Linked DNA regions of Saccharomyces cerevisiae S288C. The gene in region 4 interacts genetically with the main gene of each other region. Each region holds a gene or a part of one and is shown on either strand. Other genes may lie near its edges.

Region 1 (5,186 bases), on a different chromosome or scaffold from region 4:
CTCCTTGTTTGATGGGTTATGGTGAAGCTTTAACTAAAATGAAGGGTAAAGTCACCGCACCTGAAGGGTCCGTTTACCACGAATGGTGTGAAACTTACGCATCTTCATGGTATCGTGAAGCCATGGATGAAGGTGAAAAACTTTTGAACCACATCTTAGAAACATACCCTCCAGAGCAACTTGACACTTTAGTAACAATCTACGCTGAAGTTTGTGAATTAGAAACAAATTTTTGGACCGCTGCGCTAGAATACGAGTAGATAAGATGGCTTATGCACAATAGATAAAGATATACCTACATATAATGAATTATAAAAACAAAAAAATAATAATAAGAAAAAAGTTTCTTTGTTATACAATCTATAAAAACTTCTTATAGAAATTTAAACACGTTTATTTAGCTGCTTTTCGTTACTCATTATTCTATCAATAAAGAAAGAAGGAAATATAAAAGGAAACCATGAAAAAAATGGCGCTAATTTTTTATTTTTAAAAACTATTCATGGATTCTTTTCGAAACCCTCATCACGAACCATTTGAGCATTAACTTTAGCTGATTCTGGATCCAAGTAAAATTTCCTCACAAAAGAGTAATTGTCTCTATCCAACTCTATAACTAGCGGAATGCCGTTGGGAATATCGACATCTTTGATGTCTTCATCTGAGATACCTTCCAATACTTTCAGCAGAGATCTTACAGAGCTGCCATGCCCAACTATAACACACGATTCTTGACTGATTTTGTTGGCGGTAGACAGAACAACATTATTTAAAAATGGTTTCAATCTGACGACCACTTCACAAAGAGACTCACTTTCTGGCAGACGCTCATTAGCCTTCTCTTCGGGGCCGTATTTTAAGTGTCTATTGGGCTCCTTAAAATCATAGCCTGTGGAGGACCCCTGATCATTTTCCTCTTGGACCATTTCCAGGTTTAGGTTGACTTTAGGGGGTTTTCCGTTGTAATCTCTTCTGATATACATGTATTTTTCCTTACCGTATTCTTTCAAGATATCTGGCTTTCTTTGTCCTTGCCATGCGCCGTAATGACGCTCATTTAACCTCCAGGTTTGCAACACAGGCATACTTCCTTCAAATCTTGTGTCCTGCAGCTCCTCCTTAATGTTTGTATTCGTAGTAATTACATAATTGGTGTGTTTTAGTCCCAACTCTTCGAGAATAACGTCCATGGTCTGCTGAGTTCGAATCAACCTTGAAGTATAGCCAATCTGAGGCAAAGAGATATTGTTAGAATCGCAAAACTGCTTGATCAATTTTGCAGAGTGGCGGGCCTGAGACTTCCCTTTTTCCGTTAATTGAGCATCAATCCATCCGCAGAATATGTTTTCTGAGTTTAATTCACTTTGACCATGCCTTAAAATAAACAGTTTAAAAGTGTCAGTAACAGTCATAACTATTCGTTATTAGTAGATCTTTTTGCACTATTTCTCAATCCTCTCAAAGAGACTTTTATTGTAAATCCTCGATTGCAGGTTGTTTTATCACATATGTATAAAATGGAAGCTTCTATTGTTTTATCGAACTTGTCAATGAAATCTCGCATTGTTATCATCTCATAATACAAATCTGAAAAAAAAAGTTAAAAAACAAAGGAAAGTCACACAAAACTAGCAAAAGTAACAAATCAAAATTCGCTGACAGTTAGTGCTGTCGTATCCTGTCACACTTACATAATATATATCTGTTTACATAATCTAATAGCTTGAACAAAAGCAACAGCAAAGGTTGCTAATTAAAACGTGTGCTCTTAAGGACATCATAATTCTCTATCAAGGAAAGATTGGAGCATACCCTGTGGGGTTTCATCATATTCTTTCAGGGTTACCTTGTTATTGTCGTCAATATAAGAATTCGATTGTATGAATTGTCTCCTTGGCAATCTCTTAGATAAGACGATGTCTCTTAAAGACGCCAAATCCGGTGTCACCGTTGATCTATCAATAAAGTACTTACTTCCCTGTTCCACATCGCCTGAACATTTGTAAACATGCAAATGCTTTAAATAGTCTTTCACACATTCATGTCCCGCTGTTTTAATGAGAGATTTATCCAACTTGATGGCAAAATCATCATTCGTGCTGTTCATCTCCAACTTTAAGAAATTCTTATCTGTAGAGTGCTTCATAAATGTTTTCATGATAGAAAATCTTGCTTGCATGTGTGGTTGTCCCCACTTACCAGTTTTTGGATTCCAGTATTCTAAAGCTAGGAGACCCGCACGGGCCATTTGTAGATATCCAGCGTAGATCACTTTATCTTGAGATTCGACATCATGGAAACCAAAAATATCAAGAATCTTCTTATTAGTAAGCAAAAACATGGCAATTACTTCCGCACGACATTCTTCAAATGGGCCAGCTAACTGTCCAAATTTGGAACCCCAAGTTTCACCAACTTTGTAGTATGTGCTCACCGGTTTCCCATCCAAACCTAAAGGAGGGTTTTCCTTATCAAAATTAAAGCCGTCTGTAAATTCTGTCAACAACTTTCCTGAACCATGTCCTAATAATTCATGGATGCCTACTTGGACTTCAAAAGAATCACTTTGATATTTTTCAAAAATTGGGCGATCTTCTTGCGATATAAAACTTGGCGGATGCTTGGATGAGCTTTTGGCAGCCGCGCTTAAGATATTCCCCAAAGAAACATTCTTGAACCCAATTTTAAGCCGAACATCATCATAGTTTGGAATATTGATGCCCGCTGGTATACCCGATCCAGTAAACGTTAATACTTCTAGAGAGGTGAAATCTGGTGGATTGAAAATCGGTTTTTCGTAATCTTTAGACCATGGTAGTAAGGAAATGAATTCTTCTGCGTTGTTAACCAAGCTGGAAAATTTAGCAGTACGTTCTTTGTTTTGAATTGCAACCAACGATTCAAATTCTCCAATTATGCCCGAGGGTTCTCTATATGTTTCGATAAAACCGATATTTGTTTCAATGACGGGAGATATATCTTTGACCCAAAGTTTTTGTGCTTCTTTATGTGCTTGAGAAGAGCCAGTGACAAAGTGGTTGATGTATTCCTGAAGCATTGCTTTTTGAGTATCATTAGCCGCGAATTTTTGAGCTTCCTTTAAATACGATGCTACTAAACGCATTTCACGTGAATGATCACCAAAAATGAATTCTACTTTGGTTACAGCATTGGATAATGTGATCTGTCCACTGGGGTAGGTTTCTGTTATCTGGTTTTTCACATTCTCAGAGGCAACCCAGATTTGGAAACTGTTTTCACCAACTTTGTTGATTCTTGTGTTTTCAGGCAAGATGGCAAGTTCAGCAAACAACTGCTCTTTCAAAAGAGCCATATCTTCAGGTGTCACAGGTAAACCCAGATAATAGGCTGAAGTATAACCTTGAGAGGGAAACCCTAAGAGAGCCGCCTTCTCTTCCACATGGTAAATACCAATATCAATTAGCTCATTGATGGTGGAAAAAAGATGATGAGATGTGAATTCATGGTTAACGTCAACAGGAGATAAAGTGAGCGGAGAAGAACACGGATTAATCTTGGCCAGCTCCAAAAGCTGTTTGAAGAATTTTACCTCACAACGAGGAATAAACTTAGTGTCACCAAACGATTTGAAATTACCCAAATTAGATAAGAATTGAGAAACGTATTCCAAATACAAACCCGTTTGCTGCTTCTGCGTAATATCGTCCTCTGGGTACTTGCCGTTTAGCTTTGAATGAATGGCAAGGATTAGGTCAAAAATTGGCTCACTCTCATGAGAAACTTGTCTCATTACAACCCTTGAACCCGCATGGGAGGCCTTTGACATGAAATGCGCATATTTTTGTTCCTTATCAGTCAATTGAGGAAAGTATTCTGTTTTAACAGAAAGCATGCTCAGAGGAGCATCATGATCGGCGAAAAAGTGGCTCATCTTTGAGGACTTAATGGTGCAGTGCTCAGTTTTTTTTTTCTTCTTTTCAATGTTCTGTTCTCATGAAGGTATTTTTCCTTTACGATATTGGGATTTTTCGCTACGTCAACTTATTCCGAGCGGCTATGCTCTTAGCTATTTTTTCTTCTATTCAAAATTGGTATGATGCTTTCTTAAACTATTTATACAAAAGCTTACATATGTCTACATATGTATTTACATCACAAGAGTGTGCAGAAATAGGAGGTGGAGGAAGAGATCGTTATCTATCTTGAGGCGATGAACTAGCGGACTTACAAAGTCAACTCTTCACCTTTGGTTTTTTTGGATTCACCGTATTTTTTAATTCTAATGGCCTGGATGGCAATGAAACCGGTGGTATCGGTAGGTAAGAAACCGGTCAACTCATCCATAGAGGATTCTGTCGGATCGTACAACTTTTCAGTCTTTGTAGATCTGCCCAGAATGATGACGTTACCCTTATACAGTCTAACCCTGACAGTACCGTTAACGCTATTTTGGGATGGTTGGATCATAGATCTGATGTACTCACACTCTGGGGTGAAGTAGGAACCGTTATATATCAATCTGGAGTAGTTTGGTGTGACGAATGAGTCTCTCAATTGACGGACTTCTTTGTCTAAAGTCAAACCTTCCAAATCAACATGAGCTTTTCTCAAAACAGTCAATGGAGCCTGTTCGTAACAACCTCTGGATTTCAAGTTAATGTAACGATCTTCTACAATATCGATTCTACCAACACCGTTGGCCCTTGCTAAGTTGGATGCGGCCAAGAAAACATCCAAAGGCTTGGTAACGGAAACTTCCTTGGAAGTCTTGTTGTCGGTGTAGGTCAACTTGACTGGAAGACCACGTTCAAAGTCAATGGTCAAATCTTGTGGTTGGTCCGGAGCATCCATTGGATCGACGATCAATTTCCACATGTCCTTTGGTGGGGTGGTATCTGGGTCTTCCAAGATACCTGCCTCGTAAGAAATGTGGGCTTGGTTTTCGTCAGTAGACCATGGCTTGGCCTTGGTTTGGGCGACGGGAATACCCTTTTGTGCAGCATAGTCTAACAAATCCTTTCTGCCAGCAAATCTTTCGAAAAATTCAGGCATTCTCCATGGTGTAATACACTTAACGTCTGGCTTCAGAGCGTAAAATGACAATTCGAATCTGATTTGATCATTACCTTTACCGGTACAACCATGAGAGACCGCGAAACAGCCCTCCTGTTTAGCGACGTCAATTTGGGCTTTGGCAATAACAG
Region 2 (8,332 bases), on a different chromosome or scaffold from region 4:
CAAAATGATGGCACAGTAATCACTCATTTAGCTATTTCTGTAGTTAGTTTGTATAATGAAACGATATTAAAGACAGGGATCACATACAAGTTAAAAATTTTGTATAATCAAAGAAATAAAATATCTTCCCTTTACTCTTCTTTGCATTATCCGCCATTACACTATCAGACACTGCAGAGCAATAAATCAAGTAAAAGAAAATTTTTTTAGTATAATTCAGCTTCAAGTGAAGTGACTTCGAAATTGAAACTCCATTACTGTCTAATATAAAATTTGATGGAAATCGAAGTTAAAAAATCATCGGAGAATATAATCTAGCTAAACCAACAATATTTTTATTGTACAAATCTTCGTTTTACGTACCGCACCTGACCAAGTGGTTCGCAAATTTGCGAGTAATTTTACGTCTGTATGTTAAGGCTTGTCGGGATCTACCCCTCTTCTTGTGTTCCTCCTAAATTTCTATTAATTATATAAAGATTGGCATATGACAACGAGAGAAAATTTTATACAGAACAAGGTTACAGGTAAATTGTAACACATATTTGTTACAATAAGAGTAAAAAAAGTCTTTCCGCAACACGCTATACCTGATGGATGTTTTACTCGAATTAATAAAGTTATATAATTCAAATGGTGAGTCTCTTCTGTTTTAGCTAATTATGCACCTATTTTCTACGACTTTAAAAGTTTAAAAGATCCAAGTCGAGTTCTGCCTGAATTTGAAACTAATAACAAGCCTTTATTAGGTTTTGGGAAGGGTTTCTTGATTGCATTATACGTCTTAGAAGAGGATGAGGCCCAAGGTTTTGATTTTCTTGGAACGCGCAACCATCATCAGAAATAAAATAAAATTATTGGTTGACCTTTTTTACCTAAAGGAAAGTCTGAAAATGCTGTTGCAACAACGGCAGCGCCCTGCTTTAAGCAAGGCACGTGGTCCACCAAGAAAATAACTAAGAGGATGAATTCTCCTATTTTAAGCCAGGAAACTAGTCAGTAACATACGCCAAGGAAATGAAAGCATAGGATGCGGGCTGATTACCGAAGTCAAAGGTTCTAGTATATGATCGAGTTCTGTAAACAGTATCATGCTGTGGCATCCTGATGGTTACGAGCCTCGAGTAAAGGCTATAGAAGAAGAAATCTACGCTAACGAAGACAGGAAGGATGTTCCGGATAAGTTTAAATTTGATACTGTAACGAAAACTGGAATGGTCAAGCTTCGTGTTTTCAAAGACGATCTAATATTCAAATCACAACGATCTATAAATCTGTTTGCAAGTAGGAAGCATCCCTTCAAGTCATTTACGGCGGATGGAGAGGGCTTGCCGTTATTTGCCTTCCGCACTAAGAAGCCTTTTTTTGTTAGGCGAGATTATGTGGGTTTTCTTTTTTATCAATACGAGATATTGAAAAATGGGGACTTCCCTGAAGAGTCGGATTATGAGGTAAAAGGAGAGTGCGACGGTTTCACTCTGTTTAAAGTTCTTTTTTGCACTGTTAAGGTGAAGAAAACAAGCTATTATCGCAATAAGGAGAGAATATCCCACATACTAGAGCTCAACTTCGGAAAAAAGGAAGATTTTAGGATATTGACACTGGTTAGATGCTCTGAAATTAGATCAGTATATGTTGTAGAGGATAAAAAGGTTATTATGAAATGGGTTTTCACCTCAGAGAGTAAATTTAATTTGAATTCCTCACTGTTCATCATAAAGGCCGCAATTGGCTGTTTACCAGAGGTGGGTGATAGCATAGAGGACATACCTAAATTTGATTGGGACTCCTGCCCTACTATTGGATGTATGTGCAGAACTAAGGAGGCTCTTTTTCAACCTGAGTCTCGAAAAGATATGCATATATGCCCTCAATTATTTTTAGGGGAAACCGGACCGCCACATTATAATGAGAGTTCAGTTCCGTGGCTAACAAAAATGAATATATGCATTTCAGTGCTAATAAATTTCCTTGAATATACCGATTTCATGTCTTGGATGCAGGATAATTAGAAATTTCTATTTAACACTGCAGAAAACTGTGTTCATTTAAAGAAATTCTTGCGGGTTAATGCTATTATGATATTTTCTGTTGATTTGGTGATAAATTATATTATATGCTATATACTAATTCCTTTGGAAATAAAAGAAGGCCTTAAAATTACCCTGCGGAGGGGACTATTAAATAGAATCATTTATATGAATACTAAGGAGAGTTCAGTATCAAGATAACAACGAAAGTTTGAACTGCTAAAATTATTTTCAAGTATTGCTGACCGTTAAGAAATTTTCTGCTCCATTAATTCATTGAGGCGAAGACAAGCGCACTTTTACTCTTGTGTTTATAAAGCTAAATGACATTGTGGCTCACTTCAATAGCCGTACTCTTTGAACTAAAAAATAATTCTAAGACACTGAGTTTCACGTCAATTGAAAAAAAATATATAACACCAGCTTCATTACATGTTAGTGTGCCTTTAATTTGGCGTTAATACATTCTCCTTGACACATACTATACATTGATTCTGTGATGAGTACCGATATAGGAGGCCGATGTGCTGTTCTTCTAGACGAGTTTTTTGTAGCTAAATGACATAGGTGACTGCTTTAATTTCGTAAAGCACCAAACTTCAAAGGCTCTGTGTACACTCTACAGCCGTGACTGAGAAAAAGGCTAGGTACTTTAAAAATTTCCTACAAATATAGATCAGGGAGGGCAGTACTTAAAGAAGAAACTCCTTCCAAAGGGTCTGGAAATCATTATTAGGGCCGTCATTACGACTTAAGAGCACTTTGAAATCAGTACCCTCTGTTCAACGTGAACAAAAATTTTCGCCACACGACACTTTTCTGGATGGGCGTGATTGTATTAGCTGCCATGGTTCAGTAGTCTTCAATTCAGTGACATACTTTATTGTCATGAGACCACTCAACAGCAACAATATAAGAGCAGAGAGACATTCCAAGGGACAAGAAGATATAAGTTTTGACGTTCAGGAATCTTTTATCCAGTCTGTCTTTATTTGAATGTTTTATTAGACTTCAGAAGTATCCCGATATGTACAAGAATCTTTCTCAACGAGCTACTTTTCTCTTAATCTTGATTGTGTTTGTGATGCCACTTAACAATGCGGAATCTAACGAGTGTTTACAAATATTTTGTTCTCGGCGAAAAATTCAATACATTGCCTTCCTTTTCGGTGCATGATTGTACGGCTGAGAATGGAGAAATAGTACCGCCTAGATCTTTCGTTTTAATGGCTTCAAAGCAGAAGAGGAAAGATTTTTATTCTAAATGAAGTTAAAATTGATTGGCTGCACTACATAGAAATCAAAATTTGATATATATTATCTAATTACTTAACGTTTGACACTCCTTTATAACATCGAATACGTTGCCGAAAAAGGATCCCACACTAAATGCTATTATTACCAATAACATAGGTACAGCATCGAAGACATATATGAAATACTCATGAGAGATTATATAGCCATTGAATCCCTGAATAAATTCAACTATTCGGACAATTGAACGTAGTAGGATCAACATACTGCTTAATAATAGGGTAGCATTCACAAAGATCCACTTTCTGGAAATATCTTCGTAAAATAAGCATCTCCTTTTAACATTTACTGTGAATCTTATCTCATTGATAATGAAAAATCCAAAAAAAATTACCTGTACAAAAAGACCCGCAGTTATGAGTCCTGAACCAGTCTTCGTTGATCCTGCCTTAGACATTAGTCCGCCACCTGCAGCTTGTAAAAAGAAACTAAACACATCTCCCACAACAAAGAAAGTCGTACCAAAGCGTGCAGAAATCAAAATTAAAGATTGGCACCTCATAACATGTAATAACCTTCCAAAAATCATATAAATCGTCGCAGCTATTAGTGCTGGAGCGACTAATAAAAGAACAGATTGGATAATATATGGGGTCGTTCTTTCAGGATTGGAACTGGATAGAGCCCTCCCGATATACCCGACAGCTTCCATGATGCAGCCAGTGAAGAAAGGTATAAACGCAAAAACTGTGGGTGTGATTTTTAGTTGCTTGTATTCAGCATCCTCAAGACTATCGACCTTATCATCAGATGACTCAAATGGATTATTTTTCAATGCCTTAGAAGATTTTCTCGCAGCATATAAAGTTTGAACGGCAAAAATGACTGTCATTATAATGAAGAGTACGACAAATACGATTGCAGCCGCTTTACTTGGCGTATAGTGGTAAAGTACGAACCCCGAATCAGTTGTGGACATTTTGGAACGTTGATGGACAATAAAAGATTAAGTAGCTATGTAATTGGACACTATTAACCTACTATCCTGGACATTTTGAGGCAAGAGACTATACATCCCACAATTGATTCGGTAGGTGCTTTTATACTGATTCATTTGAGGTCTTGGCATTTGTTCAATTGAAGTACATTTAGTTGAAAAGTTGAGATTTATTTAGGATGAGCTTGCCGCGGCATGGGGAAAGAAACACTTCATCCTGTATGGAGAAAAACCACTTTGCCGCGGCACATCAAAACAGGGCTGAAACCTTCAGTATGCGCGATACCATTACACGACAATCGCATGGCTTAGTCATAATAGATCGAGGCGCTCATATACATGGCAGCCACAATATTTGAAGGTCGACAAATAAGGACAATATCAACGGTTAGGATACCGAAACTTGAATATGGCTGGTTTCTCAGGAACAGCCGATACTGTCCTGATCTTAACTTAAGGTGCGGTGAAGTAACCTGGATTCAACGCTGCATGAAAGACCTGATTAGGCTTATTTGATAATCCAACAAAAAAAGTGATTGGTTGGTTTGCTAGTATTCAAAAATAACTATTTTGGAGTACTTTGTTTGTTTGAAAGGCTGGGTAATAATTTTTTTGATGTGTGCTTTGAACAGTAAAAACTTTCTTCCTTTCTATAAGCTAGAAGCAAATCCAAATCTCATCGAATAAGCGCATTAGGTTAACGACATTATTGTTGTTTAAATTTTAAGCTTTTTAGCTTTTTATATTTTATTGAGATGGCAGCAAAAAGAGGATTAGCCAAACAAAAATCTAGGGTAACCAAGGCCTGTGATAGATGCCATAGGAAAAAGATTAAGTGCAACAGTAAGAAGCCATGTTTTGGGTGTATTGGGTCTCAATCAAAATGTACGTATAGAAATCAATTTCGTGAACCGATTGAGGCTTTTTTCAATTATACTGGTAGTCTCAGTAATGATTTGGATAATGCTAAGTGCAGCATAGCAAAATTGAAGGCACAGTTACCTCCAAGCGCACCGGCCTCTTTACAGAAAGGCCTAGCAAACATTTGCACTGAGCTTGAAAAAATACAACCTCAGCTTTACCTCAATCTGGACAGTAAGGAAATTAGCTCGTATGGTGGCCTGAAATCGATAGAAACAGAAATTATCGGGAAACAGTCAAAATCTTTGAATAGGTTCTCCAACGCTTTTGAAAGCAATACTGCACAAAATGTCAGTATGTACTTTGGGGTCTATTCACCGTTGCTATATTTTGCCTCTACGGGTATTAGCTGGATAACTAAAAAATTGATTTCATGTTCGAATGATAGGGAGACGAGAGAAACTATCTATTTATTTTTGAAGTTTCTTGACGCTAGCTCTGCTAGCCATGCTGGTCCTAAAGTAACTTCGATATCTCCTTTAGAGTATTATTCAAAGCTAAACGGACTTTCATGTGGGAACGACGTACTTATTCAACACATTATGTCAAATATATCGAATGAAATCAAAGGAAATACAAACATTAACCAAACAATCAAATTCAATAAACCAACAGACTGGTTTATGTACGGAGTACAATTGATGGAACAGCACCACAAGGCGTTGGATCGTAAAAGTTCCAAAAAATTACTTCCTTTGAAATATTTTCTTGAGCAAGATGAGTTGATTTTTTGTCTCTGTCTTGAATATTTTGAAAGATCCCTATTTTCGACAATGTACGACTTGACTATTTTAAAGGGCTTAGTCTCGTTGATGAAACACAGATATTGGATAGACGATCCTTTTGTGCTGGGAAGAATTATTTCCACGATGTCCAGGCGAAGTTTGGATGCTGGTTTGAATCGTTGGGAATATTATATTGGTCAGGATGAGGACACTGCCGAAGAATATCGTAAGTTATGGTGGGACTGCTACTGGTGGGATAGATGGTATTCATTGGTCACCGGTAAGCAGCCATTGATACCACATGAAATGACTTCGTGTCTCTTTCCCAAGGATGTGGTTGGATTAGGGGTAGATGATTCGATGGACTGTTTTACTTTAATAAACTTGGTGGAGCTCGACCCAAGTAAGTTTGATATTTGTATCTCTTTCGGCTATATTCTATTAACGAAAATTATTACAGCGGTATTCTCTGGTTTGCTTTATAATCGACACTTTACAGACTACAGATTATTTGCAACTCCTAACGCTAAAGACCTAAATGGAACCGCACGACAGCTTATGGTAGAGTTTTCAAAAATATGTAAAATTTTTCAGTGCATACAAGACAAACTAATCCCTTTCCTCAAACAATATTCTGAAAATAGTAATGTATTTGAACTATACACCCATTTCGGATTTGCAAAGGTTTGTTGTTTTCAGGGAATGGAGAGTTTAATTTTAAGGATACAAAATCTTCTACAAGAAAGAGAGAGAATTGAACTTGATTCCTGCGTAAAGGACATCAGGCTTCAAACCTTTGAAGCATCTGTAGATATTTTGACGGATGTTCTCAAGCACGAAGATACGTTCTATATTTTCCGTTGTTCGTGGTTCATATATGCCATCTTGATGAATATTACCTTGAATTTTATCGAGACCCCTAGAAGGAACTCGATATGTTATTTATCCTTGATGTGCCGCATGATAGCCTCATATAATGACTTATTTGTGAGCTCTGGCAATGTTAATTTCAAGGGCAACAACGCCTTCTCTAAAAAGTTGGAAAATGGAACAGCGGTTTCTTTCATCCTAACACGCATCTGCTGTCAGATGTACACACGTTCACAGAAAATGGCTAAGGAATCGCTGTTTTGTGAATTGAAAAAATATGGCCAGGCTTGCTCAGATGCTGGTCAAGCTGCGTTGGACATTGAATGTATCTGGTACAGGAATATTATAGGCGAACACAAAGAATCAAGCTTCCGTAAAGAAATTCTCAGCATTCTTGATAGGGAAATGGGTGATTTGGTGAATAATAGAGTTATTGGCGTACAGGGAAAAAATCAAGAAGGTGCTTGTTATGAGAAGTTGTCACCCAGCAGCACCAGTGTTTCAGTTGGCATGGACTTTTGTAGCCTCGAAAATTTTGTGACTGCAGAATCTCTACCAGACCTTCTCAATCTATTTTGGGAGGACACTGAATTTGGTATTACTAAAGAAAACCTCGGAGAGTAAAAACCAAGTATGCACCTAAACAATTGATCACTTTCAATTAGGAAATAAAATCCCTTGATTTAGACGAATACTGTAGAATGCAATAAAAGGTTTTGTGATTCTAATCTAGTCCCTTACGTTATGCACCGCTTTCAGGAAGGTTATGGGCTGTACCATGAAATCAAAGGTGGCTCATAACTAGTAAGTAAAAGTAAATGTCCTTTTTTTATGCAAGATCTAGAACGATTCGAGTATGGTGTTGATACCACTGTGGTAAGTCTTTCAAGCTACACGCAATTACACACACTCACAAATCTAGTTGTATTTACTCCTTTTATTGTTGCTAGTCTAATTATTCGTCCCACGATTTTATCGTTCTTTGAGTATTTCGGGTCTCAAAAGATTGCTAAATGAAATAACTCTTAAAAATTGCTTCACATAGTCTTGTTGTTACATTCACAATTCACAGCTTTCCGTTGCTCATCGCTTGATAGGAATATATTATGATAGGGATTATCCTGAAAGTTTCAGCAAAACGATAATTACTTCAGCTTTTCTTCGTCTATTTAACCTAGTTTTCCGTCATAAATCCGTTCTCTTAAAAGCACACCTACTCCACTTTCTGAAATAACATAGATATTGAATTTGACTTAGATTCATATATTAGAAAAATCGAATAGTTTCCTGTGCCTAGAAATTCTAAGGTGCCATTCCAGAGGATTTTTATGACAAAGATGAGATGTAAGAATCAACTTTTTTTAATATTTTATATCTTTCATCAAAGAAACATCACAATGTATATTACAAAGTGGAGAAGCATCCAAAATATAGCTGCAGTGAGAATTCATTGAACTGTATCAACTGGGTGGAAAATGTCACAGTCACTTATGGAATTCTATGATTTTATTCAATAGAAAACATTTAGTAAAGCT
Region 3 (8,754 bases), on a different chromosome or scaffold from region 4:
CAAATATAATTCCATTTGAAAAATTCTTTTTCTATGGAATTCTGAATGCAAGATTAACAAGGAAAACTCAAATAAAATTCAAAGGTAAATTGGTGCCGTCAAAATATTGGTGGGATTTTTTGAAGTTGCAAGTGCCATTGATGACAGATGCTCAGTTAGAATTACTTGACATTCATGCGTGGTTTCAAAAATTAGTCTCTAATTATGCACCACATCTAAGCGATGCCACCACTTCATAAAATCACGTAAATACAGATAGAAAACACATTGAGGCAACAGGAATGAAAATGCACCCTACTACTCTCTGAACCACCATATGATAATATTCCAATCTATTGTGCTTAACATTAAAATTGTTCAAACTTGGTATAAGCAACAAGTGGGAGAATTAGGTGTACCTCAAATTTTTGAAAAAGCACAGAGTGTTACTAAAAATTTTAATATGTATGTATATCCTTTTCTAGCCGTCAAAAGTGTAAGTAATTTCGAAAAAATAGATTCTATTTCAGTAAGTCAGAGATTCGAGTCGCCTCCCGTCTTCCGCTTTCCCAAGCACCATAGGCACAGCCGGCGCCGTCCATGATAGTATGTTCGCCTGCAAATCTTATGCGGGAGTCTTGACCATTAGACATTGCAACAACCATATCAACTGGATCATCTCCTGGAAAACAGGCCGAATAAGCACCGCGTGAGTAAGGATCGCGTGTCCAGTTGCTAACGATGATGTTTCTTAAGACTGGTTTATTAGCGTTTGCAATGTTTTCTATCGGCCTCATTCCGTCGATGACATCCTCAGAATCTAGACACTTCATAATCTTGTTCAGCACAGGTTGGAAAAAACTAAAAAGACGCTCTTTATCTTCTCTAATGGATTCTATGTGATTTGTAAGCGGTGCCTGCATCAACATCATAAAGCTTGCTACTCCTGTGCTTTTTGACAAATTTACGAAAAATAAAGGCTGGCTCCAACAAGTAACACTCGTATGCTTTTGAGAATCTTCCCTTTCTAGCATAGAGTCTAATTCATCTAAATTTTCCGCATTACGTACTATTTCGACAAATTCATTGGTAGAGTTAGCCAAAGTTACAATTTTTGAACTTTCGTTCGACCAACAACATTCTTCAAACTCAAAAATTACTTTACCTAGCGCTCCAAAATGGATCTTGTCAAAAGCATCTTGAATCACTGGTTTCAAGGGTGGTTGAAATTCTATTCTTCCCCGTAAATTTTTTTCAGGTTGTACAGACAAATTCAATACACTTTGAGGTACTGTAATAATAACATAATCAGCATTGTACACAGTACCATCTTCACAGTTCACTGTCACATTTTTTGAAGGTTCTCGTGTAATTGATTTCACTTCACAACTTAGCTTTAACCAATTTTGAGGAAAGCTTTGAGCAATTCTTTGAACCACAGAATCATAGTTCAAAGCAAAGGCGTTCCTTCCTTGGTGACCGAAGTATGTATCCTTGGCACTCAAAAGCTTCCAATCTAAGCCGTGCCACAATTCCAGATATCGACAGAGTTGTGGCAAATATCTTATTTGGTCATTTGTGAGAAATTGGCGTCTTTGTAGTAAGTATTTCATTACTAATTGAAAAAAGGAGCAATCTGAAACTCCTAAGTGTTGATGGAATTCTAACTCTGCGAATTTGCTCATTTCATTGTCCACAATTTCAAGAAGCAGTTCCTTGTCATGGTCTACCCTTCCACGTTCTTCGTCGATATAAATAAAATTATCGTCATCAAAAACAAACCTCGTTCTCCCATCATTCAAACTCAGTTGAGCCTCTTCCAAAAATAAAGGGTTTGTCAACGTATCATGGTGCCAGCTAGCACCTATATCATATTTCCGACCTTGATAGCCTGTGACAGTTTGCAACCTACCACCGACCCGATCTCTGGCCTCAAGAACAAGACAATCTTGAATACCGTTTTGGTGTAGCGTAGATGCAGCTTTAAGCCCAGCAATACCGGCACCAATTATAATAACCTTTTTTTTGGCTGGTGAAACTGTATTCATTCTCACACGACCACTGTTTTTGCCTTTATTAACTCACTTCTTGTTGGGAACAAAAAAAGAAAAACAGAAATAAAAAACTGCAGCAGAGCAAATTTGAAAATAGTTACCATGGTTTAAAAAAACTCCTCTTTTATATCTTTAGGATACCAAAAATTGTCTATTGTTTAAAAGATCTCATAGCGTGACATCCGTATATGGGTGGGTGACCCGAAATTTGAGCCTCCTTCTTGTAAAACGAGAGTTTGTCATAGCAACGGACCAACATGTGGTAAGGTGAGGTTGACTCAATTTTTTCAACATCTTATATACAATATAATAATATGTAGGTAAACGTGTCCATAAAATGGTTTTATGGAATAGAAAAAGAATCCTTATGCAAAATTTTGGTCAAACCATAATAAATTGGAAAATAAATCATCATCAAACACATTAGGAGAGTTCCCTATTTTACTGACAGTATCAAGAACATCTGAGGGCAATCCAGTATCAGTACCTAGATTTGCTACTGCACTTTCCGGAGAAATTGCGATTGAACCGTCGAAGTTAGTGGTATTATGAGACCTAGTAGCTAATGGTACTCTTTTGCTATTGTTATGTGGATTTTCTTGTCTTTCATCAGCATTTTCTTCTCTTTCACCAGCATCAACTTCAACATCCGCATCATTATCGCCAACTTTCTTGAACTGCTCAAACTTATTTCTATTAGGGGTGTCATCACCATGATCAGTTCCGAGAGTAGCTTCCAATTGCAAAGCAGAATCTCTCAGTCGTATGCAGAACATATGATTCAGCATTTTCAAACACCACAAGCACTCAGGAAGCATTGAAGGCCGATTTTTTGGCTTAGAGCACTCTAAGGTTCGCCATATTTCTTGGCAGCTTTGCATGATAGCTTTATTTTGAGTTACGGCAATCCCTGCGTGCAGGTAGATAATACATATTAAATTTACCGTGAATAGTTGAGAAAGGTTTAACCACCACGGAACAAAGAAAAGATTACTTCTCGTAATTTCAGCCAAATTTTCAATAGCCATTTGACAATGAGAAATTAACAATTCAGTATCGACGACATATTCTAGGGATTTATTATTTGCGGTAGATGAGGGGGCGATTAGACAAAATAATTGTCTTACTTCGAAAGTCAGCCTTATATCCAGGTATGTCATGAATGGTTGAACTTGATAGAAGTAACGATAATTGTCGTCGTACGCATTGGTTTGACTTCCAACTATAAAGGTGTCATACCATTGACCAAGTTGGCTGCGCAATTGCACGGTCTCGTTCAAATTTAAATCCTGTGCGTCTCTTTTTAAAAACTGTGTCACTATTATGGACAAATCAAGCATTTGAAAAGTCTCTTCGTGAAACCAATCATCTTCTTCTTGTAAAAATTTCTTTGACTTCACTAGATTCATCTGTTCGCACATCTCGCTCGCGGGTAATGATAGTTGGTAGAATCGACCCATTTGAAAACTTATCAACTTATCCATTATAAAACAACACCAGAAACAATGCCATGCTTTTGATTCATCATAAGTGGAATGGATCTCAGGAAATTTGTTTAAATATAGACTCATCCCATTACACATGTTCACCGCTTGACTTAACGCGTTCCAGCACGCCGTCTGTCTGTAACAGGTTCTGAAATAGAAGGTTATCAAAAGCCACGATTGTATTAGTTCGAATGATTCCCACTCAAAGGTCAGCGTGTTGATTATTAAATAAGCGTATTTGAATAAATTTTCCTCTATGGAGGGTTTTTTGATCAAAATAGATTTTTCCTCGAATGTGATATTTAAGGATGTGTTACTGTAGGTTCCTTGCCCTTTCTGACCATCTAGATGCCCTTCTCTGAATCTTAGTGTAGTAGACAAAATTAGATAAAGCATGGAAGTGAATAGATTCGCAGATGAATTATTTTGTTTACCTTGCCGTAGAAATTTATTGTTATATTGCTGCCAAAATGTCGCTTCGTGAATGATACTGAAAACAGGATTGATCTCATCAAAATAATACCTTAGTAACTTATTGATTAAGGATAAGTGAACAGGGTCATCAAAGTCGAAAAATTTAGACTCATGCCTTATATTTTTTTCTTGGCTTCTAAAGTCACCCTTATACTTTAAGTAATGGCCTCCTGACAAGTTCCAACCATAGTTTTGAACTCTTGGCCTTTTCAACTTCGCGTACTCTATTGTCTGCGGAGATAGATCCTTTAAAATAGATACACCAAGGTAATAGGGCAGAATATTTTGGTAGCGTCGGTGAAACCTATACTTATCTAAAGAAAATGTCTGCCAGGGTGATTCAAAGTGATCATTAACAGTGTTAGTTATTTGAGAGTTGATTATCTTATTCTCTTTAGAATTGATGTTGTTATTATGAAGAGCCTCTGCAGAGTCACATATTGCAGACCTGTGATTCGTGTCACAGTCTTCCTGACTATTTTTCATGTTGACCACTGTCGGGTTTGCATTCACATCACTAGCATTGGTTCTAGTTGTTCTAATTGACGATTCCTTGGTCGTATTCCCCAATTTTGAACTCAATTGCAGAAGTAATTTAGCCATGTGATCCTCCGGAAAACTGTTATTGTTATTTTCTCCATTTAAGTTGCTTCCGGAATGGAATGTATGGTTTGGCCTACCGCTCATGAAGGGTAAAGTGGATGATATATGATGATAATGTGAATTTGGATTGGGAGAGTTGCTAGCAGACGAAGATACACCATCTGAGGGGGCATTTATGATAATATTTGATTTACTTAACAAGTCCCTAGGAAAAGACTCACTGGTTTCTGCATATGTCTTACTAACGTCCCGAACAGCTGATGCGACCTGTCGTCTTCTTCTTTTACGGTTTGTAGCTTTGAAATCATAACGGCATTCTTTTTGATGTTTAGAGCAGTTCAGACAAGGATTGTTACCGTCGCATTTAACCTTTCTCTTCTTGCAAAGTTCACAAGCTTTTTGAACCCTGAGTCTACCTTTTCCATTTTCTTTACTTGCGGCTGTACTAGTATCAAGTGCATCATCAGTATTCCCGATAGCTGTCATTTCTCTGAACCGTTCCTTTCTATTAGTATGGGCCCATGTCCTATCAATTTGCCGACTTCGTGCTAAAAAAAACTGAAGGAGAACAATCACTACGATGATGAGCTTGATTGCTACTGAACGATGCTCAAATACAAGTATATAATATATTTCATGATTGATACTCATGTTCAGCCGGGTATCTTTTTTCTTTGTTTTGAGAGGCTGACGGTGACTCTTTTAATTTGAACAAGGAAATGTATCATGCACGTATGACAGAGAGAAATAGTAGTACAAAAATCAAATATTACGTGAATACGTGAGATGAATAGCCGATATTAAGTAGATAATGAGAGGTTTCAGACGAAGCACATAGTAAACTCAGAAATATGCACTTGCGCGATAAAGTGAAATTACCTTCATATTCTTGCAAGAGGAACTTATATTTTTGAGAAGAACTAGCATAAGCTTGCTGTGTTTAGTGTTCCTTTACGCAATTAGCTTTTCGAACGTCCAATAGCATATTTGGTTTGTTTCAGCTTTAATTTTTTTTATTTTGAATGCACTATATAGCAAAAAAATTAACTAAAACCTAATCCATTTTGTTATAAATAGCTTTTAAGGTTGATATTAACGATTCTGTATTATGAGAACCATTTATTAGATCAAGTGAATCAAAATTTTTTGAAGCGATGAGAGCATTTTTTAAATTTTGCATAAATTTGTTTTGCATTTTTGCTTTGTTGTGTTCATATCCTTTACTTCGTAACAGTATAACTTCGATTAGCATTTTGCTTGCTTTTACATAGTCACCCTTATTCATGTAGGCGATCGCTAAATTATAACGAACCCTTGTAAAATTCGGTCTTAGTTGTTTGCATTTATTGTACGCATTTATCGCAGAGTGATACGACTTAGTATTGGCCAAAATAGCACCATATCTATTCCATATTGTTCCATTATTGGGCTTTTCCAGTAGTAAAAACTCTAAGCATTTCTGAGATTGCTTTATTTTCTGATCCGAATAATATAAGATTGATAATACTGAATATATATCATACTGATCTTTTTTTTCTATACCCATATTCAACAGGGATTCTAGAATATGCGCCAAATGGGCCTTTTTCGGAATTTTATTAATGCTATCTTTGTTTTCCCCCGCAGAAGGTTGGAAAACCTTCGAAAATTTTGAAAGAATCCATTTGTGAAAAAGTTTCAATGACTCTGATTCATTTTGTTGATTTATATGGTGAATTGCTAAGTTTTCCAATGCAATTGTATTATTTGGATCCAAATTTAAGCAATTTCGCAAAGCAAGCTCTCCATTGCTTTCGCTTTCATTTTCAAAATTAACTATACCTAACTTCAACCATGCATTTATATGGCTTGGATCTTGTGAAATGGCTGCTTCAAAGGCCATTACTACTTCGTTCAAATTGGAACCGTTGTCCATTAGTACACATCCTATTTTATATGGGTCCCGTTCCGTTATGTAGATGTTTGATTTTAGGAATTGATATGTTTGTGGTACGGATGACAGCATATGCATGAAATCAATTGTTTCTTCGTATTCTGCCACATATTCATAACCAACAGTTTTTTCTTCTACATTGTTTTCTATCTTTAGCTCATTTAGTAACTGATTTTCGATTGATTTGAACTGAAATTCCCAGCCATTAGAAACAGATGAGTGTTCATTGTAAGATATTCGACAAGGATATATACGATTTTGCTGATATGCCGTACTATAATATTGTGCAAAGTACCTATTGTGCAAATTAGCGGAGCGTTTCTCATGTTTGTTTCTACTGGGCTTGGTCACATCAGCATTTTTATTCTTGGGGAAACAAGAGAATTCCTTTGACCACTGGTTCTCAAGTCTTGAAAATTCTTTTTCGCTGACACCACTATGTTGAGATTTATCTGCCGGTAGTGCGGCCCGAAAATCTATCTTACCAATACTGCTGCCGGTTTGACAATTGGTAAAGATGTAATCTATTGTTCTAGCATCTCGCGCGGCGCTATCGTTAGTCTGAAAATCAGAGAATTTACCCAGATTATTCCATTTCAAGCCTAATCCATTGTTGATCTTATGAATTGGGTTGTCACCAGTTATGGAACAAGTAACTTCGTTCATCGTGCTTACAAAAGGTACCCTTTATTCTTAATGATTCTCCACTCAAAAAAAAAGAATAAAATAAAATAAAACGGATAAGAGTACGAAAAAAAGTGATGACCTTTTCTTTATTTATTGCCACTGTTTGGGTGAGAATATTGGGGTAAGAGCGCTTTGCCCCAAGTTTTCTGTACGATTTCAATGCGTATCAATCATCCTCTCCGGCGTTAGTAAGGTACTACCAAGGCCTCTACCGTTCCCAGGAAACTCTTCGGGTTTTGTCTGCGCCGCGCCGCTCTGATTGCTTTTCTTTTGGCGGCTATTTAAGTTCCCAGGTGCACATCAAAACCGGCAGGAAGCAAAGTAAATTAAGTTTGCACTTACAAACCCAAATAAGATCTCAATGTATTGCGTGCGCTCATATTCACATATGCGCAGGAACAATCTTGTCATATCTGAATCAGGCTGACGCATCCATGTCGTGTACATTTCTTGTAGGCTTGAAACTTGAACGGTACGAGAAACAAATTGGAAACGAATAAAAAAGTAAGAGAAGGAGGACATCCTCGTCCAAGTTGCGGTATGTATGCGGCAATGAACTACTCCGAAAAAATGCGGAAAAGAGGCATATTTGACCCAAAGCAGTAAAGAGTTTCGTTATATCAACCGTGGCGGGATAGCATTCGGTGGTCTGACAATTAATAGGATGATCGGGCTAGGGCTGGGCTTGTGGAAAAAAGGATAGTAAAAATTTTCTCTAGTAGCATACGATGTGATGCTTCCAATTTTCAGAACATGTTTGTACAATAACTCTATTATTGATTTTTTTTTTTACTAATATCGTTTGTAGGGTAGAATTATTCTTACTAAATATCCTTTTCAACTTAAACATATACGGACGCTTGAGATACACTCTTGTCTTAATCCGCTCGATCTTGGTAAGGGCGTTGTGACGCTTAATATAAAAGGCAAGCGCAGAATATAATTTTTCCGCAGCATAAGCACCCAATCAAGACAATTCTATAGGAATAGTGTGGCATACGCAGTGATTACCGGAAACCCTTCATAATGTTTTCCTTTTTCCCAACAAGATTGAACTTTGATATCGTTTTGTAACTAAAATCTTTTTTGACAAATGAAATTATATGAATTATAACTTATCAACTTTATGAGAAGCAAGTAGACTTGGTACTGTAAAAAATATAGTCCCACGACAGCGGTATCTATCTTTCTTACCCTCTTTTACTTTTCACAAAATCATGTTGATTTTTCAGTTAACCCAGTTTAAGATCATGAATGGAACGGGAAACAAATACGTAACAACTGGGAAAAACAAACCTGCCGATGTTTGAATGCACTTTATTTATGGGAAAGAGAAAGCTTTGTCTGACAACTCCGAAAGAAAATACAAAGAAGAATTGAGACCTTCAGTACTAATGTCCCCCTCGCTCTTTTTTTTTTCTCTTTCGCAAGAATATCTGCGTATGCCTTTTTAGAAACTATTTATTCAATATATTTATACACGATATTTTGTGTGTATAACAGATCACCATCTTTTCCCGATCACTTTCTCCAATCT
Region 4 (7,999 bases):
CTAAATGACCGTGTCGGTGAAGTGTTCGCCAAACTTTTCGGTTAACACATGCAGTGATGCACGCGCGATGGTGCTAAGTTACATATATATATATATATATATATATATATATATATAGCCATAGTGATGTCTAAGTAACCTTTATGGTATATTTCTTAATGTGGAAAGATACTAGCGCGCGCACCCACACACAAGCTTCGTCTTTTCTTGAAGAAAAGAGGAAGCTCGCTAAATGGGATTCCACTTTCCGTTCCCTGCCAGCTGATGGAAAAAGGTTAGTGGAACGATGAAGAATAAAAAGAGAGATCCACTGAGGTGAAATTTCAGCTGACAGCGAGTTTCATGATCGTGATGAACAATGGTAACGAGTTGTGGCTGTTGCCAGGGAGGGTGGTTCTCAACTTTTAATGTATGGCCAAATCGCTACTTGGGTTTGTTATATAACAAAGAAGAAATAATGAACTGATTCTCTTCCTCCTTCTTGTCCTTTCTTAATTCTGTTGTAATTACCTTCCTTTGTAATTTTTTTTGTAATTATTCTTCTTAATAATCCAAACAAACACACATATTACAATAATGCCAAAGTTAGTTTTAGTTAGACACGGTCAATCCGAATGGAACGAAAAGAACTTATTCACCGGTTGGGTTGATGTTAAATTGTCTGCCAAGGGTCAACAAGAAGCCGCTAGAGCCGGTGAATTGTTGAAGGAAAAGAAGGTCTACCCAGACGTCTTGTACACTTCCAAGTTGTCCAGAGCTATCCAAACTGCTAACATTGCTTTGGAAAAGGCTGACAGATTATGGATTCCAGTCAACAGATCCTGGAGATTGAACGAAAGACATTACGGTGACTTACAAGGTAAGGACAAGGCTGAAACTTTGAAGAAGTTCGGTGAAGAAAAATTCAACACCTACAGAAGATCCTTCGATGTTCCACCTCCCCCAATCGACGCTTCTTCTCCATTCTCTCAAAAGGGTGATGAAAGATACAAGTACGTTGACCCAAATGTCTTGCCAGAAACTGAATCTTTGGCTTTGGTCATTGACAGATTGTTGCCATACTGGCAAGATGTCATTGCCAAGGACTTGTTGAGTGGTAAGACCGTCATGATCGCCGCTCACGGTAACTCCTTGAGAGGTTTGGTTAAGCACTTGGAAGGTATCTCTGATGCTGACATTGCTAAGTTGAACATCCCAACTGGTATTCCATTGGTCTTCGAATTGGACGAAAACTTGAAGCCATCTAAGCCATCTTACTACTTGGACCCAGAAGCTGCCGCTGCTGGTGCCGCTGCTGTTGCCAACCAAGGTAAGAAATAAGTCTGAAGAATGAATGATTTGATGATTTCTTTTTCCCTCCATTTTTCTTACTGAATATATCAATGATATAGACTTGTATAGTTTATTATTTCAAATTAAGTAGCTATATATAGTCAAGATAACGTTTGTTTGACACGATTACATTATTCGTCGACATCTTTTTTCAGCCTGTCGTGGTAGCAATTTGAGGAGTATTATTAATTGAATAGGTTCATTTTGCGCTCGCATAAACAGTTTTCGTCAGGGACAGTATGTTGGAATGAGTGGTAATTAATGGTGACATGACATGTTATAGCAATAACCTTGATGTTTACATCGTAGTTTAATGTACACCCCGCGAATTCGTTCAAGTAGGAGTGCACCAATTGCAAAGGGAAAAGCTGAATGGGCAGTTCGAATAGTACTTAAGATTAGTTAAAAGTCCATGATTGAACATTGATGTGGTAGTTACATGCATGATGAATATGCGCCATGAGAGGTTGGTGAATTTTGAGATAATTGTTGGGATTCCAATGTTGATAAAGGCTGTTATATTATGTATACAGAATATACTGGAAGTGTCTCCTCGAGGATATAGGCATCCCCAAAAAGGAATCGATATTTCTACATAATAATATCACGATTGTTCCTCATTCCATTTCATATGTTTCATTATCCTATTACATTATTGATCCTTGTATTTCAGCTTTCTCTAACTTCGATGACAGTTTCTCATACCTTATGTCATCATGTCCACATTTGACACCATATAAGATAATATACTGGTAGTATAACCACTAGTTGATGACGATAGTTGATTTTTATTCCAACACGCGGACATATTAAATGTACGGTGGCTAGCAGGCCTCCTATTCACCATATTTAATCTTCATTAGTTGTACCTTTGACCATTGACAATCAACACAATAATTATGAACAAAATTTCCTGGTACAATGATTATGGTAAAGAAGAAAAAAAACGCTGCTTGCTATAACCAAATCAGAAAATATAATACTATAATAAAAATACATCAAACTACTTATCTTCAATTATTTTCCCGCATAATTAGATCATATAACTGCTGGAACATCAAACAAATATTAGCTCGCGTGGCGTAATGGCAACGCGTCTGACTTCTAATCAGAAGATTATGGGTTCGACCCCCATCGTGAGTGTTTTTTACACCAGCAGTCAAAAAGAGTTACTTTTGATATTGCATGTGTCGATGATGCAACTATGTCTTTCTCTGCGTACGGAATCTAGAGCTATGTTAAATGCTTGTTTTTAAACTATCTATCGTTCATCTAGTTATAAATTATAATTATATTACAGTTTTTCATCTATCCATTCGCGCCATTGGGAAATTTTTCTTTTATTAATACTGCCCTCAAAAGCAACTACAGATGCTTCCAAATTTGCAAATTTGAACCCGTCGGTAGACTGTAAAACGTCTAGTGTATTCTCTGCATAATCTTCTTCGTTAATTTTTCTTTCAACCTCGTTCAACGATTTTTTCCTTCTTTCAATAACCTTTTGAATTTCGCTTTCTAAAGCATCCTTGATCTTTGATGGTGGTCTTGCAGTGAACAATTCGCTTTTATTGCATGCAATTAAGATATCAATACCATTTTCGCAACTAGATTCAGTAATTGATAATATGTCTACCAAGAACTCAGCTGTTGTTGTTAATTTCTTAGGATCAACTGTTGAGTCTACCATAAATATCAACCCTTTAACAAATTTGGCTCTTGTTTTCAAATAATCTGAGAGTTTATAACGCAACTTGACATGGCCTGGGAAGTCCACTAACGTGACGCCGGAACCATCGTAATCCGCTGCTGATAACGGTTCTTGAGAAACAACAGTTGGTCTTACTGAATCTGTGGTTAGCAGCGTAAGCAAGCTCGTTTTTCCAGAATTTTGAGGACCTGCAATGATAATAGATGGTTGATAACTTTTTTGCTTGATCCCTGTCTTGGAGGATGCCTTTTGCACTGCTATTAGCGCTATGGTTGTCCCTATCACCAATAAACAGGCAATAATAAGTGTATTACTAAGCATTCTGATCCCGTGTGCTATTATGCTAATAAACAGCAGTGGTAAAGTAATAATTAATTGATCAATACAGACACTTAAAGCCTAACTATTTCTTTTCTTCTCATCTTTTTCAAGTTTAATGATGGTTCATATTTGTTTTCCATATCTCTTATTTTTTTCCGCCACTAGATGAAAAAAGTGAATGGTGAAAAATTAAGAACAGTATTGCAGCAAAACCTCTGACACTTTAGGACATAAGGTGGCCCGTCTAGTTTAGGTAAAATGATGAAAAGATGCTTCAGTATCCTACCACAAAATGTCCGGTTCAGCTCAAAGTTCACAAGTTTAAACTTACCAAAGTTAGATTTGGCGGATTTTATAGACTCAAATAAAAGAGGAATCAATGTTCTTCCGTCGTACAGAGATGAAACCGCTAGCACCACTCAAGCAACTAATTCTAAAGAGCTCAGATTACTTTCCAAAACACTTCAGGGCCAGTCGTACCGGGACCAATTAGAGTTGAATCCTGATGTAAGCAAAGCAATCAACAATAATATTATGGCTGTACATATTCCCAATAATCTTAGAAGGGTTGCTACAAATTATTACAAAGAGATTCAGGAACCAAATTCATTACATCGTCCCTGTAGAACCAAAATGGAAGTGGATGCACATATAGCGTCCATTTTTTTACAAAATTATGGTTCTATTTTCCAAAGTCTGAAAGAATTACAAAAAAGGGTAGGTCCTGATAATTTTAAACCTCAAAGAATCCTTGATGTTGGATATGGCCCAGCGACTGGTATAGTTGCCTTGAATGATATTTTAGGCCCAAATTATAGACCTGATCTAAAAGATGCCGTTATTTTAGGGAATGCGGAGATGCAAGAAAGAGCCAAAATCATTTTGAGCAGACAACTTAACGAGGTGGTCGATACTGTAGAAGAAAATGTGTCTACAGAGAAAGAGCAGGAAACAGATAGACGGAACAAAAACTTTCAAGAGGATGAACATATTGGAGAAGTGATGACAAAAAAGATAAACATTATGACTAACTTGCGGTCTTCTATTCCCGCATCTAAGGAATATGACCTCATAATATTAACGCATCAACTTCTTCATGACGGGAATCAATTTCCAATTCAGGTGGATGAAAATATTGAGCACTACTTAAATATTCTAGCGCCTGGAGGCCACATTGTTATTATTGAACGAGGCAACCCAATGGGATTCGAGATTATAGCCAGGGCAAGGCAAATTACGCTTAGACCTGAAAACTTTCCAGATGAATTCGGAAAAATACCAAGACCTTGGTCTAGGGGAGTAACAGTCAGAGGCAAAAAAGATGCTGAATTAGGAAACATTTCCAGTAATTATTTTCTGAAGGTGATTGCACCTTGTCCACATCAAAGGAAATGTCCCTTACAGGTTGGAAATCCTAACTTTTATACTCATAAAGAGGGTAAAGACTTAAAGTTCTGCAATTTTCAAAAAAGCATCAAGCGTCCCAAATTCAGTATAGAGTTAAAGAAGGGTAAACTTCTCGCTACTTCATGGGATGGTTCTCAAGGAAATGCGTCGAGGCTAAAAGGAACGGGAAGAAGAAATGGTCGTGACTATGAAATTTTAAACTACTCCTATTTAATATTCGAGAGATCACATAAGGACGAAAATACGTTGAAAGAAATTAAGAAATTACGGAATGAAAATGTGAACGGCAAATATGACATTGGATCACTGGGTGATGACACGCAAAATTCCTGGCCTAGAATTATCAATGATCCTGTCAAACGTAAAGGTCATGTTATGATGGATTTATGTGCGCCATCAGGAGAACTTGAAAAATGGACGGTTTCGCGGTCGTTTTCTAAACAAATATACCACGATGCCAGAAAGAGTAAGAAAGGTGATTTATGGGCCTCAGCGGCCAAAACACAGATTAAAGGGCTGGGAGACTTGAATGTTAAGAAGTTCCACAAGCTAGAAAAGGAGAGAATCAAGCAGTTGAAAAAGGAAGAACGTCAAAAAGCTAGAAAGGCTATGGAATCTTATAATGAATTGGAGGACTCTCTTCAATTTGATGATCATCAGTTCTCAAACTTTGAGGTAATGAAGAAATTGTCCACTTTTCACGGCAACGATTTTTTACAACATGTAAATAGAAAATAGGAAATTGTAAGTAACTGGAAATAAAGTAATAATATTAATATATTCAATACTTTAATATTCTACATACGTGAATATGATATATATATAGTACAGTTTGTTGCAGCGTTTCTAAAAAGCCAATAAAGATGACAACTGAGTGTATATTATATATGATAAAACCTACCCTGCTGGTTCCATAATTGAATCACTTTATTAATGCTCTTCTTTTGAAGTAAATTTCGTTTCATCTGTCTAGTAATGAAATTACTTTCTTCTGAAAGATGTACCCTCAGAAAGCTTTGCCTTACCACCAGTTGGGGTGCACAAAATTGTTGAGCAGGATTCGCAGGTAACTGCAGTTTGGGCGTGTGAGAAAACTGTAGTGATGTTCAAACAACCTGGGCACTTAACGTCTAGGAAGTACGATCTTGGACCTTGGACTAATGTCTTTAATTTGTGCTTTCTTGCTTCAGAAGCTGCAGTTGGGTGCAATAAATCTTGAACTAAAACCTGTTGTAGACGAATAAGAAATAAATCTAACTGTTAGTAAACTTCCTTTTTTCTCCTCATCTCGGTGCAGAATAGAAAAATAACAATAGCTTGAGTTGCTGGGAATGAAGTTCGCCATCATCAGAATTTTATATTCCCCTACAATGAACTGTAAGCTCATACGTCCATCCTGAATCTTATCCACTATATGTAGCAACCGCTTGAAATATTTCAAAAGTCTTTCTTCATAGTTCTTGCCTCTCTTGGTGCAAAATTTTCCACCACATGTATTCTTTTCTTTTTGCGACTTATCTATATGTATTGTTCTATTCACTGGTCCAGTTGCGCTGCATTTATTGGATACTAACATACCATTTTGGGATATCTATCTTTGCTTTGTTGGAAGGTGTTACGATGAAGTTGCTTGTTATCGAAATTAGACTCCGCTTATACAGAGATACCAAGTTACTGATACTTTACGAAATTTAGCCGATCCTAAAATTCTTCCCACATCGGAGGAACACAGAAATTTTTTCAAAAACAAAATATGCTGTTATGTACAGATTTATTTCCAGTGTGCACGGGTTGAAATAAATGAATACCAAAATTTTAAGCCGTACTTTTTTGTTGATTTATGTATGTTTGCAACCACTGCAAGCTAAGCCTATCAGAAGGCCAAGCTTAGAAGAAGTATTTGTCACATATAGATACTTGACTATATAAAAAGGCAAAATGGCTAGAAAAGAGATTTTTTCTTAATAGTAACCATTTTCCTTCAAATACTTGTTGACGACATCACGGTCTCTGTTAACCCACTGCGCTTTCGAAGTAATAGTGTCCAGTGATTGAGCCAAACTTTGATCGAAACCTTTCGTGGATTTAGTGGCAAAGAATTTCTTAATCTCATCTATTTTTTGCATTGATGTAAAGCCAGAGGTACCTAATGTGACGACGGAGCCTAGCATTGAAAGACCAGGAGGTAGTCTCTTTACGAGTTCGTCCCAGTTCTTTTTAACCCAATTCCACAAAGCCTCTACACCTTCTTGATGAGCTCTCATTCCTTGCATTGGAATATAAATGTCTTGGTTTAAGACAGTGCCATCAAACAAATATCCTAAGGTTCTTTCTAATAATTTAGGTTCTTTAAATCTGCCTAAAGATCTTAATGCGGCTAATTTTTCATCGTTAGAGATTGGATCTAAGTAGATTTTGTAAACTTTTTCATAGTTTTCTGCACCACCAACTCTTGCCACAGTGTTAAATACAATTGGTTTAATCAATGCTGGGATGGCTTCCTTATTACCGCTGCAATAATCAGTAAACATTTTTAGAGCAGCTTTTTCAACGTCTGCGTCCCTTGCGGCACAAGCAGCACCAAACATGGTCACTTTCAAACGTTGAGTGGAGAACGAATCAGAAGATTTGAATTCCCAACCCAAGTGGTGTGTCATACCGCTTATTAGTTGCTTCGTGAAGTTATCAAGCGCATCCTGGGTTTCCTTTGGTTCGAATAACCAAGTAGATTTCATTGAAGATATGCTGTTGATTATTTGGTCCCAGACGACAAATGACTTTTCATTATTCCATTTGGAGACTAAGTTCAAAAAATTAGTAGTTGAAGTGTAGCCAGAAGCAGATAGTGTCTTGACATCAGCAACCAGACCGACACGGTCCTCAACAGACAATAAGTCAGCTTGTTGACCCAGTTTTGCCCATCTTTCATCGGTGTAGGATGTTATATAAATTCCGGATTGTTCGCTGTTAACTTTGAAAAAGGTAGGATCTTCTAATTCAATAGTTTTGCTTCTTTCACTCAATACAACGGAACTGTCAACTCCATTTTTAGTCTTCAAAGCCAAAAATACAGGATAGATGGTTTTGTCCTCGTCGGGCTTGACATCAGCTGTGCTTAAGTAACGGTTTTGGCGAAATGTTATTTTACCGTTACCATCTTCGCTAACTGAAATGACTGGGAAACCAACTTTTTTAGTCCAGATGTTCATCACAGAACGAACGTCTTTACCG

What was found.
Region 1: mutations in SRP102 (region 4) and GPM3 together harm fitness less than expected from each alone (positive genetic interaction), as found in Saccharomyces cerevisiae (one large-scale study listed by BioGRID).
Region 2: mutations in SRP102 (region 4) and PUG1 together harm fitness less than expected from each alone (positive genetic interaction), as found in Saccharomyces cerevisiae (one large-scale study listed by BioGRID).
Region 3: mutations in SRP102 (region 4) and FMS1 together harm fitness more than expected from each alone (negative genetic interaction), as found in Saccharomyces cerevisiae (one large-scale study listed by BioGRID).

The regions. Positions count from the first base shown.
Region 1 is NC_001147.6:219,494-224,679, reverse strand, and holds GPM3 (phosphoglycerate mutase family protein GPM3), read right to left. Parts: upstream 1,413-5,186; coding exon 501-1,412; downstream 1-500. Other genes in the region: THI20 (trifunctional hydroxymethylpyrimidine kinase/phosphomethylpyrimidine kinase/thiaminase), read left to right, coding at 1-260; YOL057W (dipeptidyl-peptidase III), read right to left, coding at 1,778-3,913; ARG1 (argininosuccinate synthase), read right to left, coding at 4,207-5,186. UniProt on the Saccharomyces cerevisiae protein: Could be non-functional.
Region 2 is NC_001137.3:555,385-563,716, reverse strand, and holds PUG1 (Pug1p), read right to left. Parts: upstream 4,264-8,332; coding exon 3,352-4,263; downstream 1-3,351. Other genes in the region: YER186C (uncharacterized protein), read left to right, coding at 1,092-2,012; TOG1 (Tog1p), read left to right, coding at 5,037-7,421. UniProt on the Saccharomyces cerevisiae protein: Involved in inducible protoporphyrin IX influx and heme efflux.
Region 3 is NC_001145.3:308,650-317,403, reverse strand, and holds FMS1 (polyamine oxidase), read right to left. Parts: upstream 2,028-8,754; coding exon 501-2,027; downstream 1-500. Other genes in the region: MAC1 (Mac1p), read left to right, coding at 1-239; STB4 (Stb4p), read right to left, coding at 2,399-5,248; PEX9 (Pex9p), read right to left, coding at 5,652-7,196; SPO20 (Spo20p), read right to left, coding at 8,722-8,754. UniProt on the Saccharomyces cerevisiae protein: Involved in the production of beta-alanine, a precursor of pantothenic acid. Multicopy suppressor of fenpropimorph resistance.
Region 4 is NC_001143.9:156,963-164,961, reverse strand, and holds SRP102 (Signal recognition particle receptor subunit beta), read right to left. Parts: upstream 3,362-7,999; coding exon 2,627-3,361; downstream 1-2,626. Other genes in the region: NNR2 (NADHX dehydratase), read left to right, coding at 1-45; phosphoglycerate mutase GPM1, read left to right, coding at 577-1,320; tRNA methyltransferase RSM22, read left to right, coding at 3,620-5,506; 40S ribosomal protein eS27 RPS27A, read right to left, coding at 5,750-5,995, 6,347-6,349; APE2 (metallo-aminopeptidase), read right to left, coding at 6,730-7,999. UniProt on the Saccharomyces cerevisiae protein: Component of the signal recognition particle (SRP) complex receptor (SR). Ensures, in conjunction with the SRP complex, the correct targeting of the nascent secretory proteins to the endoplasmic reticulum membrane system.